Caenorhabditis elegans: one gene and its partners. The protein of the gene in region 1 interacts with the protein of each later gene in a pairwise test. Each region holds a gene or a part of one and is shown in the gene's direction. Other genes may lie near its edges.

Region 1 (10,209 bases):
GTCATTTTTGCTCAAGCCCCCTGAGGCCAACTCTCAATTTTTTACCTCTATTTCATTATCCCTATCAGCTGTACCACACAAAGAAAATTAAACAAAAGTGATAAAACCTGTCTTCTTCAACAACCCCCGCTGTTAATAGCAATTGATCTGATTTTGATAATTTAATCCGCGTCCAAATGAATTAAGAAAACTTGATAACGGTGTCTAGCGCTAGGCTTTGAACATTTTTTATATTTCGTGGAAACCTGCACGTAATTCAATTAGACTTTTCAAAAGTGTGTCTTGAACTCTGACGGAGATCAAAATATTAGAAAATTGCAAAAGTGCGTAATAAATCTGCCGATTCAAGGAAAAAGTGTGTGCTTGCGATATTGCAAGCACACAACACAGCCACACAGGTGCAGATTTTATATCGAGTTCAAAAGATTATAGTTGCAAATGGAGCTAGCTTTTGGTAATGCGAAGAATAACTTGAAACTAGAATGTATGTTTTGCTAGAGAAGTTCCAAAAAAACACATCATTAGAAAAATCAAAATGCCAAAAACTTTTGTCACTTTCCTGAAACAGTAAATAGTTTCAAAATTTTTTTTTTCGAATAGAAAGCTAAACTGACGCCATTTTGGCGCAGGCGGTTGTAAGCTGCACATCTGTTATTTTGCTCTCAAGTTTGATCTCGCATTCACCATTTTTAATTGAATCCAAAAATCCAAAAATCAAAATATGAAGAGGGGGCGGGGCCGTAGTCGTGATATGTTAAAAGTCCTACGTATAATTAATTCGCAGAACTAGAAGTGTAGGCTCCAATATACTTTTAAAAGCCGCTTGCCCACCCTCCAAAGAACATTTACAATGTTGTCTCCTCTGGCTGACTAACAAAAATACAGTTTGGAGAAAGATCAAACTCCGCCCCCATCCCGCCGCCATATCATCCCTTAGTATGTATGGGTCTGTCAATGACAACGAGTATTTATAAAATTGAGAATTCAAAAGATCACGTTTTCATCCATTATATGTTTGTCGTCTGCTGATCTTCGATTTATCGCATTATCAAACGTTGATCATTTCACCATTTCATTCAACGATTTCCAGTTGGGGGAAACCCTTAGGCTCCGCCCACAAATTGATGGCACATGTCGGTTCTCTTTATCTCTTCATTCGGTAGCATAAGAGGCGAGGATTTCGAACTTTTAATCTCGTAACTTCAGATACTGATGTTTCAGTTATATGTGTTTGAAGTTCAGTTTTCTCGATAATTTCCACCTGCTTTACTTATTTCCGCACTATGATTGGAGACTACAATGTTCTGTGAATTCTTAGAAAACTTGATATTTGATTTTAAAGTGTTTTCTGCCGACGTATAACTCAATACTGAAAAATTTTGCAACAAAATTTTTTTTGTGATAATTTTGAAACAGTAATTTTTTTTCAATTTTTTTTTTCAAATTCTATAAAAATATTTCTCGCAGTTGTTTTTCATTCTATTTCGTTCCAATCAAAAAATTCTGCGATCTCTTGTTCAACATCGTTTTCTCTGATCATAATCTCAACACAAGCAGCTTTTCCTCCATGTATTTTTCGAGATGTGACGCCTTTACAGGGAGGGCGTTTGATCTCTACAAAAGCGTGAGCTACTTAGTGGGGCCAGAAAAGTGCAATTTACTTGCATAAGAGTAACAACAAAAATCATAGCGACCCCCCGCCTGCCCGGCTGTATCTCGATCACGGATCTTTTGAGTAACATCAGTTCCAATTGAATATCCGTAATTTCCGTAGTATCCGTAGTATCCGTAGGCCGTAGTTTGTAGCAGTAACAATTTTCTGGATAGAAGTTTAAGAAGTAAATCTTAAAACTTGAAATCAAGAAATAAAAATTAATAGTTTAACTTTCGAAGTTTGAATGTCAAAATTTAAAAATTTTTAAAATTTGGAAATTTTTTTCACTGTTTCAAAAATTCCATGAAAATTCCTCGCCGTTTCAAGTGTTAGTAGTAGTTCTGAAAGATCCCAATGAACATTCTGTGACTCGATATCTCCACCTCCAGCAGCAGAATCCGTTCAAATGTGGGATTTCTGCATTTACCGTGTTTTTCTTATCTAACTCGGCGGATCTAACCTTTATTCACACGTACATTCAAGAATTCAGTATTTGTAGTAAGTGTAGTTGGTGAGAAATTAACTGAAAAATTAACGAAATCCGATCTTATTTTAAGTTTTCCAAAAAAAAAAATTACTGTTTTAAAATTTATTATAAGGAAACGGTGATTTTTTCGACAATTTTTCAATCCAATTTATTTCCAATTTATTTAACTGTTCTGAATCTTAATATAAACCATGTCGCTGGAAAATATAACAATTTTATGTGCAGTTGCAATAACTAAAATTTCCAAAAAAATTTGTTTTCCGCATTTTTCTAAGTTCAAGCTTGATTTCTCATTAATGGTCGCATCTTGTTCCTGTTACAGCCAGAAACCTAAACTTTTTTCACAATTTGTTACCTGTTTGGAATGTTAATATAAATTTCGCTAAAATATATATTTAAATCTGTTGAACTGCCGTTCCCGCCAAAATTGACCAATTTTAACTTTTCGGAAAAAAAATACTGTTTCAAAATTGCATGTTCCTAATTTCAACTTTCATTTCTCAATAACTTCGGTTCTTTTTTTTCCTGTTACAGTCAAGAAACTTCCCAAAAAATCCCTCAAGATATTCATCTCCCGTGCTTCGGCCTCTTTCTACCTTGAAACTCCTACATACGCCCTTAATACGAACTGTGTCTAGTTTAATACACTCGTTATTCCCTTCCATTGCATTTCCTCATCTTCACTTCATTCTGGATCGTTTTTGATTGGGATCTGAAGCTGCGTGGAAACTGGCTTTTTCGATGAAAACGTGATCGAATTTCTGCATTAAGAATCACTGATTAAAATTTTCAATTTACAGGTTCTAATTGTACTCTTTTTTTTTTGGAAATTTTTTTCACTGTTTCAAAAATGTTTCTTCTAAACTTTTCAACAAAACCTCACTGATTAAACTTCGTCCAACATTTTCCGACAGTTTTCTCTCCATATATACTTTTAATCTTTCGGTTCCCTCTGCGCACGTGAAAAATAATCGTATTAAACAGATTTCGTATGCAAAACTTTTCCATAATTTTTTCAAAAATCACAATTTTGGCTTCTCTCTTTCCAATTTACTATACAATTTCTCCGCAAATTTTTAAAGAAATTCCTCTTTTTTCAGACTTCATCTCACTTTCATTGCCAAATCATCAAAAAGAAGCCATTTTTGGTTGGAGCTCGTGTGGCTCAACAATCAAAAAAAAATATTATTTTGTGGAGCTGGTCATTGGTAAGTTCGTGTTTTTTTTGTTGCAAACATATTTAGCCACTTGAGGTGTCTAGGAAAACCGGTGAAGATGTTTGTATAATGTTAGTCGGAAGCACAAAATTAGTGCAAATGACGTGGCGGAGGAAACGGAAAAAATTCAAAATTTTGGACTTTGGAAAAAATTAACTGTTTCAAAACATTTTGAAATTTACACAGAGAGCATTGTTTTTTTTTATAAACAAAACTTAAGTTTGAAAATTGCAATAATTTTCGTCGCTTCTTGTAGCTTGGCTGACAACCACAAAGTTTTGGTTTCAAAAATATTTTACTGTTTCAAAAAGTTCTGAAATTCACAAATAAATGTTTGTTTTTGCTATGATATCGCCCTGTATTGGTCCCAATAAACTAAACTATTCTGATTAAAAAATTTTCAACTGTTTCAAAATTTTGAAAAAAGTTCCATTTTTTTTAAGTGTTTGCTCTATTCTTTCTTTAAAAGTTTCACCTTATTGTACATTTTGTAGACACATTTTGTAGACTACAAAGGCTACGTGTTTGCCAGTTCTTTCACTTTTTGCCGTGTCACTTGTTAGTCATTTCTTACAAGAAATGGGAACTTTTCTGTTTCACAATGTCTTTTTCTTTTAAAAAAGTTTGAGCTTCAGCTGAAAAGAAGCTGAAAATTTTTGTTCCTGCTTCAAAGAGAAAAACACTGAAACTTTGAGCTTTTTGTTGTCAATTTACTCGGCGATCTTTAAAGAGACGAAGAAAAAGAAGAAATGTTTTGTCTGGCGGTTGTGTTCTCTGTTTTTGCGGGTCCCCCAACTCCAGTTTTTTGATCACTTATTTTTCCTATTTTTTTGAATCATTTTTCTTGACTTTTTCTAGATTTTTCTTCTCTGGAAAAGTCACAGAATGATGATGATAAAGTTTGTGATCAAAAACACACTTTTCGACCTCTTCAGTCATTCAACCCGGTTAGTGGGAGGAGGTGGAGAGTAGGTCAAATATTTGCACACCCCGCCTAAACTTTGTACCGCCCAATTTTATGTTCATTTTCTGTGTGCCGTGTGTAGTAGAGGAGGAGCAACAAAGAACCGAACTTACGGAACTTTGTACCTATGGAATTGATGTGTTTTGTATTAATTTCTATATTTTTTAAATTCTGTCGAAAGCACTTTGAACTTTGTGAACTTTTCATATTTTTATTTTGAAACAGTAATTTTTTTCTTCAAAATTTGAAATTTCAAAAATTCGAATTCAAAATTTTAATAAGATTTTAAAAATCTACATAAATATTTTTTGTTGAAAAATGATGAACCTACTTCGTTGGTAATAGCAAAAAAAAAAGAGTCCACAACATTTTTAATGCATATTTTGAAACAGTGAAAAATTTCACTGTTTTTAAATTTTTACGTATACATAACCGCAACATAATTTTTGATTTGTATTTCTTATTAGGAGTAAATTGTTATTTTTAGTCAGTAATCAAATTCATATGCCAAATTTCACAAAATTTACAGTGAAAGTGTTATTAAATTTCAAAATTTGAAACCGTAATTTTCCTGTCGTTCTACAAGTAGTATGCCTCTACTTTGAAATAATCAAACATTTTCCGTGAAACAGTAACTTTTTTTCGATTTTTAAAATTTTTGCAAATCCTTTACTGATGTGAGTTTTTTTATTACTAATAGAATCACATAAATATTACAGTTCCAGTTTTAAAACTCTTAAACATTTTCTGTGAAACAGTAAATTTTCATTAAGAATTCCAATTTTCAAAAATCATCTACAGTAACCTAGTTATCTCCATCTAAACGCTTATTTCCTTGTCTGAAAATGTCTTAATTTACTTCCTCTAGATATTTTCTACTTATTTTGCACAACCATCCTCTCATTTCCGTGTTCTGCTTCTTCTGTTTTGTGCTCCGTTCGCCTGGTCATCTATTTCTCTCTGTGTGTGTTCTAGATCACAATTTGTGTTGTGTTCTCCAGTGTCTCTGCTGCTTCGCGTTAGCATGTTTTTCACCCAATTTTTGAGCTTTTCGAGCCCAGACTAGTAGACCCCGAGTGATCTTCGAACACCCCCCTGTGTGTGTGTGTTCCCCGCATATGTGATTATTGAACCACTAGGGACTGGAAAAATAGGAACGAGGAAGCTGGAACACACACCCATCGAGTGTGTTTTTTTTCGAATGGGAAAAAAAAAAGAAATTACATATTTTTTTCTCTTACTCTCTTGTAGGTCCCTTTGTAACTTCCGCTTTGACCCTTGGAGCTCCTCCTCCATTTTTGTCACTATTCCTGATCAGTCTTCATGATTTTAGGTTAGCTAAGGTTAAGCTCTTGTGGATTACTGTAGTACTCTTGGAATATATATGTCTTGAAGAAAAATTACTGTTTCATTATTTTCACAAGTTTATACAGTGATCATGTTGCATCAATTTGCTGTGTGCATCTAGCAGAATTACTGTGAATCATTAAATTCAGTAAGACAATTAGATTTTTTTCGAAATTTCGGGAGCTTCATTATGTAAATCATAACTAGCCAACGAATATTCAAGTTTTGAAACACTAATTTTTAAAATTTATTGAAATTTTTTAATATTTCAATTTTCTGTTTCTAGAGGTCTGTTTTTTACACATATTTTAAACTTAAAAAATTAAAAGAATTCCTGTTTCACGCTGTTCGTAAGAAGTCTTACTTTGAAAAATCTTTTGCTCTCCTTCCGTACATATCTCAAATTCCCAATTCTTTCAGTAAAATGAGCCCACACATCATCGCTACTGTAACCATCGACGACGAGCATCATCATCATCATCACCGCAGCAACGAGAACTACTCTCCATCATCCCAAGACATGGACTCCCCAAAGCCAAAGGGACGCATCCTTTACTGCCGAAAGTGCGAAGGACACGGCGAGAAGGTGATCCTCAAGAATCACTCACCACAGTGCCCATATATTCTGTGCAATTGCAAATCGGTAAGTTCTAGAAGAGTCTGGGAGCTATTTTGTTTTCAAATTTTCAAATTTTAGTGCGAGAAGCTAAACTACAAGCGCCTGAAGTCGTTCAACAAGAGAAATAAGGAAAAGATCGAGTTGGCAGCAGCTCTGAATGCAAAGAGACATGCTCCAGAATCCGGATCCAGTGTTGACGATGAAGAAGGTGAGCTTTTCCCTGATCTCTGTCTCCTACTCCTTCACTATCAAATTAGAATCCATATAGTACCCATAGATCTCTGATTTCTCAGTTGTGTTTTGGCGCTTACTCCCTAGTTCCCCCACAAATATGCATAACTTCCGTCTAGATTTCCACAAAAATGTACTCGGTTGTTTTGTTCGTTTCTCGTACGCGATCGAAAATCTCTGTATGACTAACAACGTAGACAGCAGAACCACTGAAAGATCAAGTGTTATTTCAAAACTATTTTGGAGTTTGCGATGATGTTTCATATTTGTTAGATATTTTGGAAAGGACATGATCTTTTGATTTCAAGAGTTTACTACAAAATTCGATCCCATGACATTCACTTTTCAAAAACAAAGCAACTATTTGCCCAACTTTTGCAAAAAAGTAGACTGTAGGTACCGGTACTAGACTAATCTTTTGATAGTGTTATCAGTTTTTTTCCTTTATACCATTACAAAAATCACCTGATTCTTGCGCTTTCTGATCGTTCCAGTGTAATTCGTCGCACTTTTGGAACGCCGCAATAACAAAATTCTATATTCAGAACAAGTGTTCTTAGATCGCTGAAAATTCTATTTCCTAGTTCCATCCCTCGAATCTACGAATCTTGTTTTCGTCGTCTTGATATATACAAAAATGTGTGTCCTGATCGACTCGAACCCTCCACTGACCTTTTTGTTTTGCTCATTCGCCATCTACTTGTTTTTAGTACATTCCAGCAACTCTTTCTCCTCCTCCCCCCCCCCCTTTCATCCCTTCTCTTCGGTCGCTTCAGGACCTTGCACTCTTTCTCATTGCGTCTGCACACTCTCATCACATCTGTACTATTTCTCGTTTGCCCTGTCTGATTTTCGCAACTACTAGTCTACTCGGTTCTCATCGTCCTCTCGTTTTTCCACGTTTTTTCACATTTTAAGGCACACACACACACACAGAGAGGATGACGAAAAGGCGCTCACATTTTCAGTACACAATCACTTTTCTGTGTATGTGTTTGTGTGCCCAGCCTCCCGAGGACGACTGTCTCTTCTGTTATTCGCGAATATTTCAGGCATTTCGTCTAGTCTTCATTTTCATTTTTATGTATTATAATTTCGGTTCTGTCTTCAAAAAATTGAGCTAAACTCCTTGGAACGTCTTCCGTTTTGAGTTTTAGCTCCCTGGTTTGATCCCTTATGCAGCCCGTCTACGATCTTTTTGCATTTGATTATACGTAATTATTTTCTCTCTCTCTCTCCTTTTCATTTTTCACAATTTTCCCACTCAATTTATCTGTCTACAAAGTTATGCTTTGGTGTCTCAATGACTCACGACGGTTGGCACATATCTCGTGTCAGTTCAAAATAATAGCAATTATCATTTGAATATCCGCTGACCGATGGTTAGATTGAGCACGTATGCGCGTATGCTGGCCAAACAGAAATAGAAATTCCAAGTATGTGTCTGGAGCCGCCGGCTCGACTGTAAACAGATTTCCGTCACTTTTCTTGTTCTCAATTTTCGATGTCTACATATAAATGAATAGAGATTAGAAATCATCAAAATGGCGTTGACGTAGGCAAATGGTGAATCACATTAGCTCACATTACGTATGATCCCTGTGTTTTGGTGTGCTGCTCTTTCATATACATTTTTTTTCATTTCTCTCTCTCTCTCTCTCTCTCTCTCTCTCTCTCTCTCTCTCTCTCTCTCTTTTCTAATAGGACTGAATCAGTGGGAGTAAGTGTACACAGACTATGAAAAAATAATGTAAAAAAGGTGAGCAACACACCAGTCGCACCAAATAGTGAAGGATTTAAAGATCACCGAATTTCTATTCGCGTCTCTTTCTTCTTCCTCTCTCTCTCTCAACATGTTTCGTCTCCCATTTCACTCCGTCGTAAGCCGGCGGCATTATCCAGTGCGAGACTCCTTTCCCAAGTACGGAACCCTTGTGTCCCTCTACTGATCTTTATCCGGCACCTAGTACCTGTCCTATATACCCACACTCGGGGCCCCCCGAGAGAAAGAAAGATGCATTCGATTTTCTATTGTTTCTCATTCTGCAGTGAAACGCGAAACACTTTCCATTTTCTTCTTTTCCAACACATACACACACACAATATGTTCCAATTCAATATTTCGAAACTTTTCAGGCTTCTCCCGCCGTTCCTCATTCTGCTCAAAAACTTCAACACCAGACATGGACTCGGAGACGAGAACCTCATCGGTAAGTATTCTCCACCTAAACTAGACTCTTGTTTTGCACTTCATATGTGTAAGGCATCTGTCAATAGCTAGCTGGCTTTCTTTCTCTGAAATCGCGGTTTCTTAGGAAAATATTCTAGTCTGCTCATAGCTCTCACGCGCACCTTGACCTAACAGCTGCATGAGAAGAAGACGTCGACGACAGAACCAGTGAGAGAGGGAAAATTCTGATCTTATGGTTTTTAATCTGCTCCTGCTCCAAAGCATGCGCTCTCTCTCTCTCTCTCTCTCTTCGCACGCTGCTCTGGCTCCCTCCTCACGCAGCGGCGCTCACATTTTGTCAGAATAGGCGGAGCAGGTGCGCGAGCCCTGTTATTACTTTATCTTCTCATACTCTTGAGCTCATTTCCAATCTCATGCTCAACTATATTCCATTTCAGACGACTCCTATCACTCGTTCCAACTCCACAATGCCCACAGCTAATGGTCTTGAAGGACGAAGTGGCTCACTTGGGCACATGACAGTCATGTCCTATGATATTTGGAAGGCCAAGTGTGCATCAGAGAGAAAGAGGCTTGAAGAGGAGAGACTCACAAAGCCTGAACTATTCACCCGATCTCCATCACCTGGCCCAATGAGGAAGCGTGCTCACACATTTGTTGCTCCGCCAACGGTTAGTTGTCTAGTTTTCTAGAGAGTTCTAGAGAGTGATCTATGGTTCTGGCGAGCCGTCGACATCACCCTTTTCTAGCCTAATTGTGATTCATCATTTCTCATACATGTATTTTTCAGATTCACACGCCAGACATCCCGGTTGTCGCCGCAAAGAAGATGTCACTTGATGAGAAGGTGAAGGGCAAATTCATCACACTTCCGACGATTCCTGCGATGAGAATTTTTGTGAACGAGGAGGATGAAGATGTGAAGCCAGTGACACAAATGCAATTGGCTCAGCCGATCGCTTTAACTCCATCACCACAAATGTCACTGGCCTCCACACTTGCTCAGATTCCAATGTCTACTCCGGTTTGTATGCCTTCAATGATCACGCCGACGTCTTTCCTGGACATTCCATCGACCTCGAGTCCAATGCTGCCATTCCAAATCTCCACGACGACTTCTCCGATGCTTCAGCGTCAGACACCAATCTTGACACCACAGATGTCTCCATTCAAACCAGTCGGAGTCGCTACTCCACAGCCACCTGCGCTAAGCAACTTGTCTGCTGGACAGGAGCTATCCTCATTCATCCTTCATTCCGTCGTACTTCAAGCTCAACAAGCACAACAGAAGACTGCACAACAGTTGATCCCGACTTCTATGCCATCAGAGTTGGAATCAACACTTTCTCTTCTCCGCTTGCAACAATCATCGTTGGGTGATTTGATCAAGCTCAGTGGAATCCAACTTCCAACTCTTCCAACCACTCAGCCAATGCTCACACCTCAAATGCCAACACTTCCGATGATGCAGAAAGCGTTGCCGACTGTTTTGCCAGGAT
Region 2 (6,036 bases), 710 kb from region 1:
GTGAAAAAATTTGGGCGGGAAATTCAAATTTTCAGTGGAAAAAAATTTTGGCGGGAAATTCAAATTTTCAGTGAAAAAATTTGGGCGGGAAATTCAAATTTTCAGTGAAAAAATTTGGGCGGGAAATTCAAATTTTCAGTGAAAAAAAAATTTGGCGGGAAATTCAAACTTTCAGTGAAAAAAATTTTGGCGGGAAATTCAAATTTTCAGTGAAAAAATTTTGGCGGGAAATTCAAATTTTCAGTCCAAACCTATATCTCTTCAAAAGACAAAAACACAATTTTTCCTAAACTACAGTAATCCTACCGTACTCCTACAGTACTCCTACAGTACTACTACAGTACCCCGCCCATATCCCCTACTAACCCCAAACTGATATCCCTCCAACAGCCGAAAACGCCTTGCCTTTGTAAGCTATGACGTCACTTCTTAACAAACGGACACTATTTTTTTATATATAGGTAATGATAATAATAGTTAATGACATAAAAAAGATACTGTACTGTTAATATTAAAAATAGTATGTTTCAGCTTTGTGACAAAAGGCCAACGTTTTTATTATAACCATTAAGCACGGCCTCTGTGAAATTAAATAATAATTTTGAAATTTTAATTGAAAAATTGTCCGCTTCAGAAGGAAAAGGAAAAAAGTTGTTTATGAACAAAAATTCGCGTTAATTTTTTTTAAATTTTCACGTAAACCCGTGATGCTCTGGAACTTCCAATCACGTGGCTTCTGACCACGACACTTTACTCAATCAATTCACTTCAGTTTTCATAAAACAACACTCTCCTTGTCCGCCAAAATGGGCCTCTTTGCCAGTGCTCCAGTGGATGATGGTTCCATGGAAATCGTGCGAGATTTCATTCAAAATATGGAGAATGATGCTCAATCATCGAATAAAAGTGCATTTGCTGACTGTTTTATGGATACTTTCAATTTTAATGTTCGTGGGAGGATTTTTACCAAAGGTGAGTTTTATATGACTATATTCTACGTCGGAAAGGGAATGGTTATTCCATAAAGTGAGGTCATATAAGCAGTTTGTGAAACATTAGGAGCAATTTTTTTGTTGAAAATTCCAGGTTACCAAGTAGTTTTTCATAGTGAATTTTAGAATGTTCAACTACTAAATACTCTAATGATTGTTTAATTTTTTCAGCTCTATTCGTGGAAAGCTACCTTACCAAGCCGAATCCCGAGCCATTGATCCTCAAATCATCGATTTTTACTCAAGGAAAAAATGAAATCAAGTTCAATGTTTCACATGTAGTTGGGCCAAGAACCAATATTGCTGATTTCTATCTATTGCGTGAAGGAGAAGAAGGAAAATGGAGACTTAAATCTGGAATTGTTATCAATTAATATTCCATTGTGATGAATGAAGTAGTACTTGATTAGAATAAAGAAGTTGCTCGAAAAGAATTTTTGTAAAGTTCTGATAATTTTTACTGTTTCTAAACGTTGGTAAATCTAAACGCATAACTTGTTGTTGATATTAATATGAATTTTAAAAATGATTTTTTGATTCCAGTTCCAATCAGAAAATATTGTTGGGAGAAAAACATAATAATTGCAAAACATGGTGACAAAGTTATCAGGACATTGAAACATAATTTTAATTTCAGCATTAGTTAATTTTTCGGAAAAAAATACAATTATATGCACATGGAATTAAATAGAATGGCTACTCAAAAAAATTCTGTCTTTAACTTTATCAAAATTGTTTATCTACATATTGCGTGTTTCACTATAGTAATTTAAAACACTCCGTAAATACTTTTGTATTACAATTTTAATTTTAATGTCAACATGCATAATATGCTCAATGATCCGTTCAACCTGTATTCCTTGATTGTTTTTGGATATTTTTGAATTTGTCAGCTCAATAGTTTAGTTATGTACATATATATCTCAGTAAATTGTAAACCGAAGCTATATTCTTACCGATAGAAAAATATTCAAGAAAAAAGTAACTTCTGTTGGGATTTTAATTAATTAATTCATATTTTCGAGAATAAATGTGGCATATTTCACTAACATCAATAAGGCCACCAAACAAATTGTCTTACTCTCATTAATGCAGCAAATGTATCACAATGTTGAAACAGCAATTTTTATTTTTTTTTTAATTACAGCTTATTAATTCTCTCTTTAAGAATGTGATGTCTAATACATATTTACTAATACTGACATAGTGTTTTGCAGAGCGGAGTAGAATTTTCATCCAAAATAGAAACTTTTCAAATAAATCCTTTTCTGTCTGAAATTTTGTTATTAAAATAACGTTTGCAATGAAATGTAAACCTATCATTTTCTATATTTTCAATTTTGTAAAAGTATACACTTTCTCACTTTTCTGCTTATTATCTATCAAAAGACTAAATATATTTTCCCAGTACATAAAGTTTACAACCATTTGGATTGTCAGGTGTGTGTCCGGAAATCGATCGAAAAGGAATGATATGTCAAGGAGAAGGAAGTAGAGTTGTAAAGTGGTGGATGTTAAGGTGGGGGATACCTTGCACCTATTGTCATTATGTGAATGACAATTGGGAAGAATATAGGTCACCAGTGGAACTGTAACGTAATGTTTTGGAATAGACAACTTTGACATGAAATATTAATATGTGAAAAGGTAATCTGGAATAGAGAAGCACGCAGAAAATTGACACTACAAAATAAAAGTCTAAATGTGGATATCCTTAAATAATTTGCTTTGGATCGGGTTTTAGTATTTTTATTTTAAATTAGTAACTCGGGCGTTTTTATCAAATGCGGCAGCACTCAAAAAGTTACTGTTTCAATATAGTGATTAAAAGGACATCACTATATAAAGTACGATTTCCAGTTTCAAACAGTTTTTGTTGAGCAATTCTAAGAGAGCAAGTGAATACAATCAATCGATAATTGGTTGACTCAACCCAGTGCTCAGGCTCCGCCCACTAAGTGGGGTCTAAAACATTAAAGGGATAGAGAGGATCATTCATTATAATATTTTGTTTAGTATACCGTTTTTTTTCTTTCATACTTCCTATTAATATATGTTGATTTTTTTTCAATATTCAGATTCAATAATGTTTTCACAAGCTCAATTCAATGTTACAATGGCTGAAGAAGACCGATGGAAACAATGGTATCCAAATATGGAAATGATTGTGAATAATAAAGGGCCGAAACTAATTTTTCCCGAACTCAACTTCAATATTACTGGATTGGAAGAGAAATCGAGATATGTTGTACTTCTTTCAATTGAAAAATATGACAATATCAGGTATTTTTTAATGATTTTCAAAGTCACCATTAAAGACAAATCTTAATTTCAGATATGGATACCGAAATGGAAAATGGGGACCTTCAAAAGTCCGTCATGCAACGAAAAAAGAACAAGAAATCAAATATTTCTTACATCCAGATGGAACAAAACTTGGAAAGGAATTGATGAAGGAAACTATTAAATTTGATACAGTCAGGATTACGAATCACAAAAAATTCATGGACAAGGATAATGTGGTTAGTTTGAATTTTTAATTCACTAAATAATATTATAATTAATTTTTATTTCAGTTTTTCGTGGAAACAATGCACAAGTATGTTCCAGTCCTCACTGTCAAAAATATCACGAATGTTGAATCTGCAAATCATTCTATGAGAATGGAAGTAGCCCAATTTTTCCCAGTCACAGTATACAATCAAGAATCGATCGGAAATTGGAAATCTAAATTTCACAAGAACTCAACATATGGAAATAGATTGGATGGGGGAAACAAGAGAAAGAATACTGATTCGAGTGAAGAGCGAACATCAAAACGATCAAAAAATGAAACAGAAATTGCTGTTTCGGATATCCTTCAAGTTGCCTCACAATCAGAAAATTATAATGAGTCCACGAATTCTGGAAGGCTTCAAAATGAGATCAGTTCCTCTATTCACCAGTTCCCATCAACTTCCTATCAAAATCAATATCCACATGCGTATCCAACAGTCAATACTCCACCAATTTATGTTCAGCAATTCACAGCTCTATTTGATGAAATCCACAATCAATTCGATCCGAAAACTAAACAAAATAGGGTTGCAAAAAATGTTCAGTATCTTTCAAGTGTACCACAATTTGCGATCAATCAAAAGGAAAATATTCATCAGAATGCTCCAGATTACCCAGTCTCTCAATTTCCAAATCAATATCCATATGGTTCCTATCCCTATTATTATCCATATTTTCAATCCAGCCAACAGTTTCCACATCTCAACTATTCCATGAATAACTCTATTTATTCTGATTCCTCTTTCCAGTCATCATTTTCTGCTGAAAATTCATATTTCGATGAAAATGGAAATCCTATCCACTATCCATATTATTCTAGCAATTAATTGTCACTTCTTCATTACTAACCCTTGTTTCCTATTTTTTTCAAATTTTCCTGTGATTGTTTTGACTTCTCTGTCCATATTGACTTTAGCTCATTTTGTTTAATTCTGTAAATTATTTCTCACCTAATTTTCTGTTTCTAGTCGCAATAATTTGTAAATCAATTTTCTTTTAATAAACTTTTAACACTAATCTTGCTTTACCGTTATGATAAAAGGGCTCAGAAATTCATACATTATTCATTTTCAAAATTAAACATTGCACTATTAATCCACTATTGAATAAAAATAATTGCCAAAATTACAATTTAATATTATAACGTGATGGCAAAGTTTTCTAAATGCGCGTCCAATTTGTTTCATTTCTGCAAACACCGCGACGACAAATTGCATACCGGGTGTCAGGGCGGGCGTGAGGGGGGCGCGGGAAAGAGGCGGGCGAAGGGCGCCCCCGACACACCTCGCCCGGATGGAAAGCCTATTATGGAGCTGCTTAGCAAAAAAGTTTGCTTTTTTTTTTATTTTAATGTTTCAATTTTGATGAATCAAGTGTGGAATAGAAACATAAGCACATCATTTTTGCGTGTCAAATTATTCCGAATTTCGGATATTAAAATTTGAAATTTTTCAAATTTTTCGATTATATTGTGGGCCGCAGATACGTAACTTTACAAAAAAAAACAGGAAATATACCAACTATGTAAAGCAGACGACTTTTCCTGTCGTTGATTTATTTATTTTTTGGTACTTGAACATTAAATTCCCTCACTTTCAAAGTTTATTTTTTGAACAATGAAAAATATAAACTTTTTTTGCTGCTAAATTATTTTTTTTGTGGAGAATATTATTTTTTGAAATTGAAACTATTCTGGTTATTTAAAAAATTGTATTAAAAAAAAACTGTATCAAGTTGTAAATAATTGGATTGCATAAAAACTTACTGTTGATAATAAAAATAATAAAAAATAATAATAAAAATTCAAAGTTTCCTGTGAGTTTCTTGCCTTCTTTCATTTTGTTTTATTTTGTAATTTTTTTCTGACTTATTTTACTGTTTCATTCTCAGTTCTTTATGAGTCAATTTTCCAGTGAGTAAATATCAAATTGTACTCAAACTATATGAAAATATATCAACAACTTGAAGCAGACAAATGTTCCGCCAGAGAGTCAACCAACTTTTAGAATTAGAAAACCTCAATCTTCCTTTCGTAGAATTATTTATTTTTTTGAAACCATGAAAAAATAATTGAGGAAACAATTTCTGCTCGAGAATGTTTGTATATTTCTACAAATAATTTCAAAAAGTACGTTTTGTTGTGGGGAACATAATTTTGAAATTGAAAATACTCGATATTCTGAAAATGAACGTAAATTTGGAGAACACTACTGTTTCGAGTTTTAAGTAATTGGTCAAAATGAAAACTTACTGTCGATTATTTTGTCGAATTTTTTTCCTGGTAAAAACAGAGTGCGTAAATATTAATTTTAGCATTTTTAGCAATTTTTGCAAAATAAAAGTGTTCAACTTTATTAATAGAAATGGAAATCAGATACGTAAAAATTGAAAATAAAGAAAATAGATCAGAAATTGAGAACCACATAAAACAGTATAAGTAAAAATTGAAAAAAAAAGTCTAATGTATTCACAGGAAAGTGTTAGTTGG
Region 3 (7,144 bases), on another chromosome or scaffold:
AGTTATCAACTGACAAATTATTTAAAATTAAATTTTATACATTTTTTTAATTTAAAATTTTTTGGTAACTCTTGCCGTTGCGGAGATATCAAGCTTTAAAGTTGGCGCACCCTAGAAAAAAGGTCAACCGTATATCCCGAACAGTTAGAGCTATCGAAAAGTTGTAAACTGACAAAATTATCAAAAATTGCAATTCATATTTATTTTCAACATACAAAAACAATTCTCAACTCCTATGACGTCATCACTCCTTCTAATTTTCCACATAGTGTCTTCCCAACTGATAAGCTTATCTCATCACCTGCGTTTTTATCAATTTTTTGTTACCAAAATCGATTCAAACAAACACAAAATTGCCATAAAAACGGTTGCGAACTTTCTGTTTCGTTTTGGCAATACTAATATTTTTTTTTGTTGAAAGTTTCAAATTGAAATTTTTTCAACAGAAAAAATTTTAATTTTCAAGAAAAACAAAAGTATTTTGACGAATATATCAGTTAACTTTTTTCTTTTTTTGCCGACACGTGACCGTATAAAATGACCCTGTAAAACAACTAAAATACCTGTTTTCGCGTCATTTGGCAAAGGATAAAAGTTGGGGGGAAACATGAACATTTCAACTTCTTCGCGTCATACTACTTTTAGTAAATTCATTTTTAGTTAGTTGTTTTTTTTAGCTATTTTGATGTCAAAGTAGGTACACGGGTACTCAGAAACTGGGAAATTTTTTTGTGGAATTAAAAAAAAAAAGAATATGGAAAACAAATTAAAAATTAAGAAAAAAAGTTTTTCAAAAAATTAAAAAAAGCTCAAAAACTTAATTTTTAAAAATATTTTTTGCATAATTTTTGTTCACTAGAAATCCTGGAAGCTTTCCTGTTTTATTCCAAAAAAATTTACAAGATTGACACCGCACAGGGTCGGTTCATTTTGAAAACTTTTACATCAAATTTTTAGAATATTTTTTTAATGATTAAACGTTATTTTGGAAAAATTTTACAAAATGAGACAAAAAAAACCAAGAAAATTGGTTTTAAAAAATTTATTATTTTTCTTCCGAATTTTCGAAATTTTTTTTCTCAAACTTGGAACTTTCATTTTTTATCAGATTTTCTTAAAAATTAGGTCATCTTCTCATTGTAATTTTCTCTACAAAATGAGCTTAACCTTCCAGAGGCTCCGCCCACTTTTCTCCCTCCACACGCCACGCTGTCCTCGTCGTGTCGCCCTCATTTTCTGCCACCACCACCACACAAGTTTGTTACTTTTCTCCGTTTTTTTCTTCTTTTTTTCCCTTCACATTTTTCTCCTTTTTCTCCTTTTCTCCACAAATTCTTTCCACCTTTTTGCCCCCCTTCTCAGCTTCTGGGGGCTCGAGCACTAAAAGGGAGAAGGTTTCGAAATGTAATGCATGTTTCCGTTCTAAACATACACATACATACACACAAACACGCACGAGACGCTAGAAAAAAATGGAGAGAAAAAAATTTCCTCTCCGCTGGCTCTCCGGAGAAAAAGAGAGCTCACCTCCACATTTTTTTGGGGGAGACAGGAAAAGAAAATGCAACATTTTATGGATCCCTGAGCATGATTTTAGTATGGAATTTGGAAAATTTGGAAAATTTTGATTTTGGGGAAGTTTTGGAATTGTTCGATTTTTTGAAAAAAAATTGCCAAAAATTGTTTTTTTTTCAAAAACTTTCCTAATTTTTGGGAGGTTTTTTTTGATTTCTCTTTAAACTTTATATGTTTCTAAAATATCTATAATTTTCAAAAAAAACCATACATTTCCTGTAAAAATCTATTTAAAAAATTATTTTTTAATTTTTCCCGATTTTTTTTTCAAATTTTTGAGATTAAAAATTACCAATTTTCTAATTTTTTTCAAAACAGAACAAAGTTGTTTCTAGTTTGAGAATTCATGACGAGAAAAAAAGAAAAAAAACGTTGGTAATTTGAGATCGACGGAAAATCTAGAACTTTTTGTTTGTTCAGATAGTTGTTTTTTTTCGAAAAAAAACTTTTTTTTCCGCAATTTTAAAAGTGATAGTTTATGTACCTTTAAAAATTAGGATATCTAAGTGTCTTTAGCCGAAGAGCAATTTTTGGTGTCAATTTCCATTTAAAAAATTTCAAAAAAAAGTCTGAAAATTTTTTTGGAAAAAGCTCTAAAAATTCGGAAAAATTCCTACAGTCCGACAATTTTCAAAATTACTCTAAAATATCTGAAAATTTTCAATTTCCCCCGAAAAATTCCCACAAAATTCCCCCATCCAACTTCTACCAGAAAATTCAGAAAACCGGTCGAACGAAATTTCCCCAATTTTCTTTTCCAATCTTTCTCCCTTTCTGCCCCCTAAAACTTTCCCCGGTTACTCTCTCTCAAAAAAAAAAACGAAAAGAAACAGAAAACATCATCTTAAAAGAGAAAACTGGTTCCTAAAAATTGATTTGGCGGGAAATTTTGTTGAGAAATTGGGGGTCAGGCCAAAATTGGACACTTACTTTTCAGTTTTGTCCGGTTGGTTTTCTTTGCGTGGTTGTCTTAGGCCTAGGCCTAGTTTCAGGCTTAGGGTTAGGCTTAGGCTTAGGCTTAGGCTTAGGTTTATATTTAGCCTTAGGCTTAGGTTTAGGCTTAGGCATAGACCAAAGTTTAGTAATCGGCTTTGGCTGAGGCTTAGGCTTAGGGTTAAGCTCAGGCTTAGGCTTATTCTTGAGCTTAGACTTAGACTTAGGCTTAGGCTTAGGCTTTAGAGCTGTTTTCCCTCTTTTTTTCTCAAGTTTTACTCAAAAATATTCTGCTCATTTTGCTCTTTTTTCTATCCCCTCCCCCTCATATCCGTCACGCTTCTCCCTTCCTTTCAAAGCATCAAAGATTTTTATTTTCTCATTTTTTACTTATTGCTCCGACTAAAAATATAATATAAAATCTCATCTTCTTTTTTTTGCAGCATCTCTATATGTTTGCTCCTTCGACGGTTTATACCTATGGACATCATGGTTCTGGAACAGACGAGGATGATGGGTGAGTGTACAGTACCCTACGGTATTCATAGTCTATCACCTACAGTACCCCTGAATCAACTACAGTGCCCATATGGTACCTAACTACAGTACCTATAGTCTAGTTTTGGTACCCCTATGGGGTCTAGCTACAGTACCCAAATAGATCATAGCTACAATACACATGTTGTACATAGCAACAGTAGTTACAGTAACCATATGGGCTGATGTACAGCACCCATATAGTTCATAGCTACAGTACACAAATGGTTCCTAGCTACAGTAATCATAAAGGAACTAAGTAGAGTTACAGTATCCATATGGTGTCAAGTTACAGTACCCCTAATCCAACTACAGTACCCGTATGGTACCTAGCTACAGTACTCACAGATTACAATTGAGATACAAAACCCCCAAAAACTTTAAAAAAATTTCAGTCAACAGGTCATGCCAGGAATGGATAATGGTGATGGGCAGTGTATGGTGTGTGGAGACAGGTCGGCTGGAAAACACTATGGAGTAATGGCTTGTTATGGTGAGTTTTTCTTTTTTTCCAATTTAGGCCTAAGCCTAAGCCTAAGGTGCTAAGCCAAAGCCCAAGCCCAAGCCTAATCCTAAGCCTAAGCCTAACCCTATGGTCTGAAGTTTATGGCCCTAAGCCTAAACCTAAGCATAAGCCTAAGCTTAATCCTAGGCCTGAGCCTAAGCCTAAGCCTAAGCCTAAGCATAAGACTAAGCCTAAGCCTAAGCTTGATCCTAGCTTTGAGCCTAAGCCTAAGCCTAAGGTCTTGAGTTTATGACCCTAGGCCTAATCCTAAGCCGAAGCCTAAGCTTAAACCTAGGCCTGAGCCTAAGCCTAAGCCTAAGCCTAAGCATAAGACTAAGCCTAAGCCTAAGCCTAATCCTAGCTTTGAGCCAAATCCTAAGCCTACGCCTGAGCCTAAGCTTAGGCTTAAGCCTAAGCCTAAGCCTGAGCTTAAACTTTGAGCTATCAAAAATCATGCAATTTATGACTTATTCATGTTTTCGACTGGAATATTTCAATAGTTTACACAACTTTTTCAAGATTCAATTTTTGAGATATCGCTCAAATTTCTAAAATTTCAGGTTGTAAGGGCTTCTTCCGCCGAACAATCCGATCCCAACAGACCTACACCTGCCGATTCACCCAAAAATGCGCCATCGACAAGGATCAACGCAACGCATGCCGTTACTGCCGGTTCCAGCGTTGCCTGACAGTTGGCATGGAGCCAGAAGCCATTCGACCGGATCGTGACGTCATCGGCAAGCAGAAGAATCCACGGAAGAAGAAGATGAAGTCCGACACGAATAGTGGAAGCATCGATGCATCCCTACCCTCACCGAATGGCTGCGATTCTCCAGTTTCCAATAATGAAGATGTTATTTTGTCATTTTTATTGGATGTTGAAGATCAGGCGACTTGCGGGAATAATCATATCACAATGCCTATTGGAATATCAATGATGATGAAGAATGACCCGGATTTCGATGTGTCCACTTTGTTCCATAGTCAATATGTCAGAAATCAGGAGAGCTTTCCGGTGAGTTGTCGGCTGCTCCTAGGTAAACTTGAAGGGAGCTTCCAGTAACCCGTGATGTGTCGGCCGTTTCTAGAAACAAGGGAAATGTCGGCTGCTTCTAGAAGCCCGGCAAATGTCGGCTGCTTCTAGAAACTAAGCAAATGTCGGCTGCTTCTAGAAACTAAGCAAATGTCGGCTGCTTCTAGAAGCCCGGCGAATGTCGGCTGTTTCTAGAAACCAGGCAAATGTCGGCTGCTTCTAGAAATTTGAAATACAGTGTGGGAAAGTTCTATAGGACCCCCCCCTAATTTGAAGGTTTGAGGAACTTCCGAAAATTTTTTTGAAAAACTGCTAATGCCATTCGTTTTTAAATTGAAAAAAACCTATATACATTTTTTTCCAGAAGTTTATCTCAAAAACTGAGGTCGCGCTGGAAAAAACGTCAAAATCCAGTGTGAAACTTCTATAGGACCCCCCGTTTTTTTTCACGATTTTTACTAAAATCAACAGATTTTGGAATTTTTGACAAAGCTCAAATCAAGTTTGAGTTAGAAATGAGTTCAGATAAGCAGTTTTGACTTTAAAAAATTAATACGAAATGTTCTCGTGGGATCTCCAGACTGGTTCTGATTCTTCCGATCTTTGATGTTCAAGTCTGTTTCAAGCTTCCTGGTGCTCTCGGTAATGCCAAAACTTGATAAACTCTCTTTAACAAGTTCCTACTAAAATTCCTAGCACGCACTTTAGATGTTTCGACTGTGTAGTCAAGCTGATTTGGCAAAATATGCAGCAGGAAACAATGGAAGGCTTATCAGGAATCAAATCGTTTTTCTTTGATTACAAGGTTCCATGGGACCAATATTTCAAGTTAAATTGTCCCTCACAGATGTTATTTACTATTTTTTGCGTGAATTATTAAATGTGGAATTGTGGCATGTGTTGTGGCACACATATAGAGGCTGGAAAGCTTACTTCGAAAGCAGTCTAACTTGCAATGCCTCGAGGATCTGCCCTTTCGGACACTGAACGCGCTCAGCTGGATGTTATGAAATTGCTCAATGTGTCCCTGCATGAAATGAGTAGGAAAATTTCCCGTTCTCGACACTGTATTCGCGTGTATCTGAAGGATCCGGTGAGCTACGGTACATCTAAAAGAGCTCCTCGTCGCAAAGCTCTCTCCGTGCGTGACGAACGAAATGTGATTCGTGCTGCCTCCAACTCCTGTAAGACGGCAAGAGATATTCGCAATGAGCTTCAATTGTCTGCTTCAAAAAGGACCATCCTCAATGTCATCAAACGATCTGGTGTAATCGTTCGTCAGAAACTTCGCCCTGCTCCGTTACTCTCTGCAGACCATAAACTCAAGCGATTGGAATTTGCTAAGAACAATATGGGAACGAATTGGAGTAAAGTGAGAATTTAAAAAAGCAAGAGTGAATAATTAGGATCATTGTTTTAGGTTGTCTTCTCCGATGAAAAGAAATTCAATCTCGATGGGCCTGACGGTTGCCGCTACTATTGGCGCGATTTGCGCAAGGAACCAATGGTTTTTTCGAGACGTAATTTTGGAGGAGGAACGGTGATGGTTTGGGGAGCGTTCACGGAGAAGAAGAAGCTTGAGATACAGTTCGTCAGTAGCAAGATGAACAGCACTGACTATCAGAACGTCTTGGAACTGGAGCTCTCCAAATATCTTCGTCACTACTCCAGAAAAGACTTTAGATTTCAGCAGGATAATGCGACAATCCATGTGAGCAACTCAACCCGCGACTATTTCAAGCTCAAGAAGATCAACCTTCTTGATTGGCCAGCTCGAAGTCCTGATCTCAATCCAATCGAAAATTTGTGGGGGATTCTTGTCCGTATCGTGTATGCTCAGAACAAGACTTACCCAACAGTTGCATCGTTGAAGCAAGGAATTCTCGACGCTTGGAAGTCTATTCCGGACAACCAGCTGAAAAGTTTGGTCAGATCAATGGAGGACAGACTGTTTGAGAACATCCGCACACAAGGAAACCCGATTAACTATTGATCCTTTCTTGATTTTAGTATATGAATGTTCTGTTGTTGATCAAAAATAACTGCAACTTGTTAATACGCTGTTTCTGACTGGTTTCTTGGGGATGGCGTAAAAATGTTTATGGTGTGTGTGCTAGGAATTTTAGTAGGAACTTGTTAAAGAGAGTTTATCAAGTTTTGGCATTACCGAGAGCACCAGGAAGCTTGAAACAGACTTGAACATCAAAGATCGGAAGAATCAGAACCAGTCTGGAGATCCCACGAGAACATTTCGTATTAATTTTTTAAAGTCAAAACTGCTTATCTGAACTCATTTCTAACTCAAACTTGATTTGAGCTTTGTCAAAAATTCCAAAATCTGTTGATTTTAGTAAAAATCGTGAAAAAAAACGGGGGGTCCTATAGAAGTTTCACACTGGATTTTGACGTTTTTTCCAGCGCGACCTCAGTTTTTGAGATAAACTTCTGGAAAAAAATGTATATAGGTTTTTTTCAATTTAAAAACGAATGGCATTAGCAGTTTTTCAAAAAAATTTTCGGAAGTTCCTCAAACCTTCAAATTAGGGGGGGTCCTATAGAAC
Region 4 (7,575 bases), on another chromosome or scaffold:
CGTACTCGCACTGATTAGGCGCACGGATTTATTCGGATGGGTCTCGCAGCGAGAAAAATGTTATGGTAACACTTTGTGGCGGGACCAATCCGAATCAAACCGTGTACCTTTAAGTACGCGTTCAGAAAATTGCGAAATTACTATATTTTTGCAACTTTTGTTTCATTTTTCCGTAAAAGGTTTGAGTAAATGTTTATCAAATTATCGACTTTTAGACTATTTTTAGTGTTTTAGCAGAAAATCTCTGAAAATTCGACAAAATTTGATTAGAATTACATAACAAAAAACAATTTTAAAAAGCTAGGACATTGATTTGCACGGGAACTCAACAAAAAATCAGAAAATTGATTTTCTTTTAGCAAAATTGAAAAAAAAAAAACAATTTTTAGCAGCTGTGCCTTTAATACAAAACAAAGATTGAAACGATGATAACCAATATTCAATTTTTATAATTTTTTTTCGGTCGCAAACAAAATTGTCATCATTTTCTTGTGATTTTATTGAACCCAAGTGTTTCATTTCAATGTTCACAGATCTTGTCCGAGAGGACTACACAGTTAGCCTTAGCAAACGCGCTCCACTGGGCACTCACACAAATCGAATGAGCGCGCGGCAAACGAGCGTCAAGCCGTGCTAGCAGGCGGATTGTCCGACGAAATTATCGATTTTTTCTTGATTTTTCGGATTTTAAAGCAAATTTCTTTGTTAATAATTTCAATTTTCAGCGTTCCAGCAACTTGGGCACTTTCAAAATGGGTAAGTTCGCTTTCTAAATTCAAAAATGATTATTTTCGCATATTTTTCTCTTTTCCAGTCGATGTACCACGCAATTTCCGTCTGCTGGAAGAACTTGAAGAAGGACAAAAAGGCAAGGGAGATGGAAACATTTCGTGGGGTTTGGAGGATGACAGCGATATGACTCTCACCAGATGGACTGCTTCCATCATTGGTCCACCGAGAGTGAGTCAGCGGAATTAATCATTTTTTATTATTAGTTTTTTGCTTTCAGACTCCATACGAATCGCGAATCTACAATCTGCAAATCCAGTGCGGCGGGAATTATCCGCGAGAGCCACCAACCGTTCGTTTCACCACCAAAGTTCACATGGTGGGAGTCAATCAGAGCAATGGAGTGATTGATAAGCGAAATTTGACAACACTTCGCAACTGGAGCAATAGTTACATGATCAAGACCGTGCTCGAGGATATCCGCAAGAACATGATGATGGCCAAAGAGAATCTGAAATTGCAGCAACCGGCAGAGGGCGCCATGTTCTAAATTCTTTTATTGATTTTTTGTATACCCAGTTTACTCTCCCCGGTAGTAGCTTTCCCCTCGAACTTTTCCCCCACACTTTATTTATAATTATTATATTATTCGCCATTCAATTTCCATGTAAAATTTTAAAATTTCAATGTGATTTTTTTATTTTTTGTTCTTCATTTTTGCGTAATTTTAACGCATTTCATACCTACCTGCTCAATTACTGTCTCTTTCGAGATTTCAATCATGTTTTTCAGATTCAATTATCCTAAAGTATGTCATATGCCGATTTGAAACCAGTCAAATTCGATTTCGACATTCAATATCAACCATCCAGCCAGCATCCTCCGTACTATAATTCGTTTGGAATTGCCGAGCCGGATCCCCGTCATAATTTGTACGCACCAACAGCACCACCACATCATCATCATCACCACCATCAGCACCAGCCACAACAACATTTACATTATATGATTGATAGTCAAGACTCAGATAGTCAGGATTCTGTGGACTCTTTCCGTACACCTGCACCGATCTCGTCTGCAACAAGGTTTTCTACTCACACTCCTCGAGCTTCCAGAGCGTCGAGTAACGATTCTGAGAGCGGAGAGCTTAGCGAAGAAGTTATGAATCATTGGTTGCCAATGACTTGGTGTGAACGATCGTCGGATGATCCACAAGGTAATTAATATTCAGATTTTCGACAATGAGTACTAACGGTTCGGAAGATTTTGAACGTATATGCCCAATAGGGGTACGCATTTTAATTTCAATAAATTCTGAATTTTCAGTAGAAGATACATCGTTTAAAATTATTTAAATGTGGCTTATATATTTCGGCGGTGCTTCGAATTTATTTATAACATTCAAAAATATTGAATTTCAGAGGTTTTACACTGCTTTTAAAGTCAAGAAATTTTTTGAAAATCGGGCTACAAAATGATGTGTAAAACCTCTGAAATTCAATATTTTTTGAATTTCTAAAATGGATTCGAAGTATTGCCAAAATATAAATATAAGCCACATTGAAATCAATTTCAACGATATATTTTCACATGCTGAACCCATGGTCGCGACGAGGCTCAATCTGATCCATCACGCCAACTTTTGTTTAAAACTAAACAATTTAATTTTTCAGTTTTCACATTCGTCTGCCTATGGGGTCAATGTGTGTCTAGCTCGTCGAGCAAGGACGAGTTCGTTGATCATTTATTCGGCCACGTGTCAGTAATCGAGGAAGGAGTTCAAAATGGGAACCATATGAATACTGTTCAGTGCAAAGTTCGCGGGTGCAACAAGCATCTCGATTCGATATTCCAACTCCACCGACACGTCTCAATGCACGTATTCCAAGCAGATTGTCAGCAAAAAGGATCAGAAGCACTGATTGAAAAGGAAGATTATATTGGAATAGAGAGTTGTGGTTTTGAGCCATGTACAAATATTAATTATGAAGGAATGCTGCTGAATTGTCAATGGGAGGATTGTGGAATGCCGTTTAACTCATTAACCGAACTGTTTGATCATGTCGGACATCACATTGATGGTGTTGGCGATGTTGATAGAATTCAACAGAATTTTTCGAGTGAGTAAGGATTTCTGGACAGTGACAATTAAATTTCCTGAAGAAATTTGTTTTCACTTTAAAAAACTGAAATTTTCATCGAATTTTTTGTTTAACTGGACAACTTTCAATGCCGGAATTTATTTCTTACTTAATTATCGCCCTGATTGCAGATTTTGGTCTGTTATTTCACGATTTTTTGTTGATTACGGTGATTTGTATACTAATTGACTGAAAAAGAATTTTCATCAACGAAAAATCGTGAAATACGACCTAAATTTGCAATTGAGGATGATAATTAAATAGCATCTAATTTTCCGCTCAAGATTATTCCAACAAAAAATTTCCTTTTAAATTCTAATATTCTACACAGATGGCGACAAAAAAGTGGTGTTCCCGTGTAAATGGACCGCCTGCACACAAGTTGCCGATTCAAAAGCCAATCTCCGACGTCACGCTCGTCACCACAGCGGTGAGAAGGTGCTCGCGTGCCCATTCTGTGCTCGATTCTTCTCCCGACGCGACAAGCTCTACGATCATTGTCTCCGACGAACAATTCTGATGAAGAACCCGGAAATGGAAGATCCGTATCTATGCAAACTGTGTCAAAAGCGATTTGGAACTGAAAAAGCGTTATGTATGCATGTTACACGGCATTTAGTCAGTCTTACGTGCCCACTATGCTCACTTGGATTGGGTTGCCGAGCAGAACTTCATAGGCATTTAATGACAAAGCATTCAAGACGATCCAAAGATTTCAAATGTGATACTTGCAGCAAATTGTTCTTCACAGAGGTAAGAAAAATATTTTTGTCGAATTTTTAGGAAAAATTGTAAATGAATATCAATTTATCAAGCTTCAGGCAATTTTAGATTTTAGTTCAAAAAAATGTCTTATGGGCTTTAAAATTGCCCAAATCTACCGAATTTCGTAATGAGACATTTTGAAAATTTCTCAAATTTCTACAACAAAGCTCATTTTCTGCTAAAATCAAAGTTTTTGCCAACTTCTCGGTGTCGCAGCCTTTCGAACATACTTTTTATTACAAAATATTTTTAAAAAATTTCAAAATTTTCAGAGTGAGCTCAACCGTCACGCTGTGTACCATTCTGACGTCATGTACAGTTGCAAGCATTGTCCGGAGAAGTTTAAGTGGAAGAAACAGCTCATGAAGCATATGAAAGAACATGATGAGGTAACCGGTGTTTTTTTTTCAGAAAATCGATATAAGAAAACTCGTGGATTTATTTTATTCTAATCGTTTAATCATCCGATTTTCAGAATTTCAATCCATCCCCATATACATGCCATTTGTGTGACCGAACATATACTACTGGATTTGCATTGGGACGCCATTTAACCCGTCAACATCGTCTCCAGATACCCTATGGATTCAGTCGTTTTACTTACAAAAAGTGTGCCGATGGACTTATGCGACTTCAGACGAAAAAGTTGTTTAGAGGAGAGTCTGGAGAGGATCAAGCCCATCACCACCATCAACATGTTCCATATTAAATGATTATTAAATATGTTAAATTGCCCTCACATAATTTATCCACCTTTATGTTAAGGAAGAAGGGGGATTTCGCTCAAAAATACCACAGAAGCAACTATTTCTGAATTTCAGCTCACTTTTTTGTGGTTTAAAGCGAATTCCCCTATTATCCACACCTCTCATTTTAATTATTCTCTTTCAGTAATATTCTGATCTCTACCCCTCTCAATCGCATGCTTTCTTTTTTTTTCCACCAATTCTTACCAAATAATCGCCTTTTTTGTTCTATTTATTATGCTTCTATCTATTCGATCTCTCGCTCTATCCATTCTTTCCTTATTACTACACCCCTCTCACCAAGTTGTCTTACAATCAATCGATCGATGCCCCAATTCACTTTAAACACGTATGCCACGTGTCTTCTCCCACAAACACATTTGATATATACTTGTACTGTTTGCAAAATTTTCAATGTTCTAATTTATAATTTAATAATTATTTCCTTTTAACTTTGGATTTTTTTTTTCAATTATCTAATCTGAAATAAATATCTACACGTATTGTTGGACAATCAATTTGTCTCTAAATGCGGTATGAAACCAATTCATTATTTTCCAAAAAAAAAAAAAAACTATTAAAATAGGCGATTACAAAAGGAAATTTATTTAAATTCTGGAGAATTGAAAATTTTATGACTACTGAAAAACTATTTACTGATTTTCCGAAAAAGTCCAATTTTATTTTTGATGCAATTTTCTATATTTTTCTTAAAAACTGATTGACATTCTTTGTAAATGAAAATTAAAAAAAAAAACTGAATTTCTCGATTTTCAACAAAAAAACGACAAAATATGTAACTTTTAAGAGTTAAATTTCAATTTCTCTGAAACAATGTCAGAATGTTTTTTCTTTCTAAAAACGGTGAAAAATTATCGAATTCGAGAACTTAACTTGATTTCGAACTTTAAAAATTCAAAACATACCGATAATTGCCGGATTGTTGAAAATTTAAATTGCTAATTGTAAGACCCCAATAAAATAATATTTCATCTTCAGATGCTCTCTAAAAACCTTCTTCGAACTTTTATAACTCGCCGAAATTTCCAAAAATCCATTCGACAGCCCGTTCTCTCCTCAAGTTTTTCACTGGAAAAAGAGTGGTCGGATCGCCACGTGGCTCTTGGTAAACTCGGATTGGGTGGAGACTATGAATGGATCAGTGCTGTACAGAAGAAGTTTATTGGTGGTGGATATGCAAGTGCAGTTGATGTTGATGCAGCTGTATGTGTTGCTGAGCAGAAAGATCAAGTAATAATCAGTTTATTAAATTAAAGGAGAGTACCTAAATCTGAGAAATATTAATATTTTTAAATGACCCCCAATTTTCCCCTCATTCCTAATAATTTTGAATTTTTTCACTAAGATATTGAGGATCAAGGGAGAAGGGTTGGGGGTAATTCAAAAATAAATCTCAGAAATCGGTACTCCACCTTTAAATAAGCTTTTGTATGGATAATAATCAATTTTTCAGGTAGATGACGTCATCGAACTACTGTATAAGCTTCGGCATAGTGTGAAAGCAGCAGAAAAGTTGGAATCAAGTGAATATGCAATTGTTCGACTGCTTCTCAAATACCAACCGGAGACTATTATCACGTTGGCTAATGACCCGGTAAGGATAGTCATAGGAGATCACTATAAAATCGAAAAGTAATACAGATCAACTATGGCGTATTTCTGAATCAACATCTTGCCTGCATTGTCATTGATCATTTTCTGAAGACGTCAAATATTCAAGCGGCCGCTCGTATTGTTACATGGATGATTCAACAAGAAGAACTTGATAATGAGCTTTTGAATATTCTTGGATTATATGTTTGTGCAAAATGGGTTGAATTACCTGTTGAGCAACAGACGCTTGATCTCGGAGGTGCAGATGATGAGGAAGAGGATATTAATGATGATGATATTGTAGGAAAATAATATTTCTATTATTATTATTTAAATGTCATCAATTTCAGAGAACATTCAAATTCCCATATCTCAAAAATGACAGCTTTGATGAACACTTTGATCTTTCAAATCCTCATCATTTAATCGGAAAGTCTCTTCAATGGCTGTCCCGGGACACGAAATTTATCGATTCTCAACTGAAATCCAGTTTAAATGCTCTTGGAGCAGTGCTCTTTGAAAAACTCGCAGAAGCCAATTCGACGATTTCCACGGCGATTCCGTGTGTTAAATCAATTGTGGCTGGGAAATTGGCTGGGAAAGAGGAAGAAGCCGGTGTGAAAAACATTTTGGAGTCTATCGGAGAGGTTGAAGAGGCAAAGGAGAAACTCAGTGATATTATTTTGGAACATTTGAAGAAAATTCAGGTATGATTGAGAATATTTTAAATTTCAAATTTTCAATTGAGAAAATGTAATAATTTTAAAAAAATAGATTTTTGTTCCGGTTTTCAGAAAAAAGTTTAAAACGTGATATTTCTTCGATTTATCCAATTTTTCAGTGCTTCCTATAAAAATTGGAATAAAACGTAGTAAAATGTAAAACATAATACTTGAAAAAATGTCGCTAATTAATTTTTTTCCGAAAAATTCGTTACACGGTGAGTTCAAAAAAGTTAGTTTCCTGCCGCTTGACAAGTCAAATTTCAAATTTTAACTAATTTTACGTCATTTCAACATAATTTTTTTATAAAAGTTTTCAAGAAGTTTCATTATGAAATTCGGAGTTTTCAACAAAAAAAAATTGGGTCTAATAAAGCAATAAAGAACATTCGACTACACCACCTTTAAAAAGAGACATACCGAGAATGCAGATTTATCAACACACCGTTGATTTCAATTATTCACACACACTTTTAATAAATCTTAATCCAAAATTCCGTTTTTTCTGGATATTTTAAAACTTTAAACAATTTTTTCAGGTCAGCGAAGAAGATTCTCTCTGCGCCGTGCAAACGAAGCTCTTCGGGGAATGGAATGAACGTCGTCAGGCTTTGGCGAAATCTCAAGCTCAAAAAGTGTTGCTCCGATTACGTCAAGATGAGATTCGTGGAGAGCTGAAACAGTTGGACGAGCAAGAAGAACAAATGAGCTTTTTCAAGAATCGATTAATCTGGGAGAAACGGGCCGCCGAAAATACACAAATCGATGAAGAATCTAAACAGAGACATAAGAAGAAAGAATCTACTGTTTAAATATGCAATTTTTGTGAAAAATTATGAATTTCAGAGTGTTTTAGTA

What was found.
Region 2: the proteins of dmd-6 (region 1) and tbx-39 interact in a two-hybrid assay, tested with the Caenorhabditis elegans proteins (one large-scale study listed by BioGRID).
Region 3: the proteins of dmd-6 (region 1) and nhr-88 interact in a two-hybrid assay, tested with the Caenorhabditis elegans proteins (one large-scale study listed by BioGRID).
Region 4: the proteins of dmd-6 (region 1) and hinf-1 interact in a two-hybrid assay, tested with the Caenorhabditis elegans proteins (one large-scale study listed by BioGRID).

The regions. Positions count from the first base shown.
Region 1 is NC_003282.8:14,613,362-14,623,570, forward strand, and holds the start of dmd-6 (DM domain-containing protein), read left to right. Parts: upstream 1-3,241; 5' UTR 3,242-3,349; intron 3,350-3,702; exon of another isoform or gene 3,703-3,723; intron 3,724-3,808; exon of another isoform or gene 3,809-3,829; intron 3,830-3,994; exon of another isoform or gene 3,995-4,015; intron 4,016-4,645; exon of another isoform or gene 4,646-4,666; intron 4,667-4,772; exon of another isoform or gene 4,773-4,793; intron 4,794-4,886; exon of another isoform or gene 4,887-4,910; intron 4,911-5,014; exon of another isoform or gene 5,015-5,035; intron 5,036-5,772; exon of another isoform or gene 5,773-5,793; intron 5,794-5,836; exon of another isoform or gene 5,837-5,857; intron 5,858-6,050; exon of another isoform or gene 6,051-6,071; intron 6,072-6,089; 5' UTR 6,090-6,093; coding exon 6,094-6,312; intron 6,313-6,366; coding exon 6,367-6,496; intron 6,497-6,820; exon of another isoform or gene 6,821-6,841; intron 6,842-8,162; exon of another isoform or gene 8,163-8,219; intron 8,220-8,655; coding exon 8,656-8,729; intron 8,730-9,147; coding exon 9,148-9,381; intron 9,382-9,500; coding exon 9,501-10,209.
Region 2 is NC_003282.8:15,320,815-15,326,850, forward strand, and holds tbx-39 (Putative T-box protein 39), read left to right. Parts: upstream 1-3,078; coding exon 3,079-3,275; intron 3,276-3,327; coding exon 3,328-3,514; intron 3,515-3,568; coding exon 3,569-4,375; downstream 4,376-6,036. Other genes in the region: Y73F8A.15 (DUF38 domain-containing protein), read left to right, coding at 807-972, 1,164-1,366.
Region 3 is NC_003280.10:2,975,465-2,982,608, forward strand, and holds the start of nhr-88 (Nuclear hormone receptor E75), read left to right. Parts: upstream 1-2,951; 5' UTR 2,952-2,960; coding exon 2,961-3,025; intron 3,026-3,440; coding exon 3,441-3,538; intron 3,539-3,804; exon of another isoform or gene 3,805-3,879; intron 3,880-3,924; exon of another isoform or gene 3,925-3,978; intron 3,979-4,110; coding exon 4,111-4,565; intron 4,566-5,291; coding exon of another isoform or gene 5,292-5,381; exon of another isoform or gene 5,382-5,466; intron 5,467-7,144.
Region 4 is NC_003279.8:14,789,519-14,797,093, forward strand, and holds hinf-1 (C2H2-type domain-containing protein), read left to right. Parts: upstream 1-1,521; 5' UTR 1,522-1,539; coding exon 1,540-1,945; intron 1,946-2,402; coding exon 2,403-2,849; intron 2,850-2,964; exon of another isoform or gene 2,965-3,053; intron 3,054-3,201; coding exon 3,202-3,623; intron 3,624-3,907; coding exon 3,908-4,024; intron 4,025-4,110; coding exon 4,111-4,344; 3' UTR 4,345-4,888; downstream 4,889-7,575. Other genes in the region: uev-1 (Ubiquitin-conjugating enzyme E2 variant 1), read left to right, coding at 753-756, 815-960, 1,010-1,279; mrps-27 (Ig-like domain-containing protein), read left to right, coding at 5,381-5,632, 5,856-5,996, 6,044-6,295, 6,346-6,702, 7,257-7,529.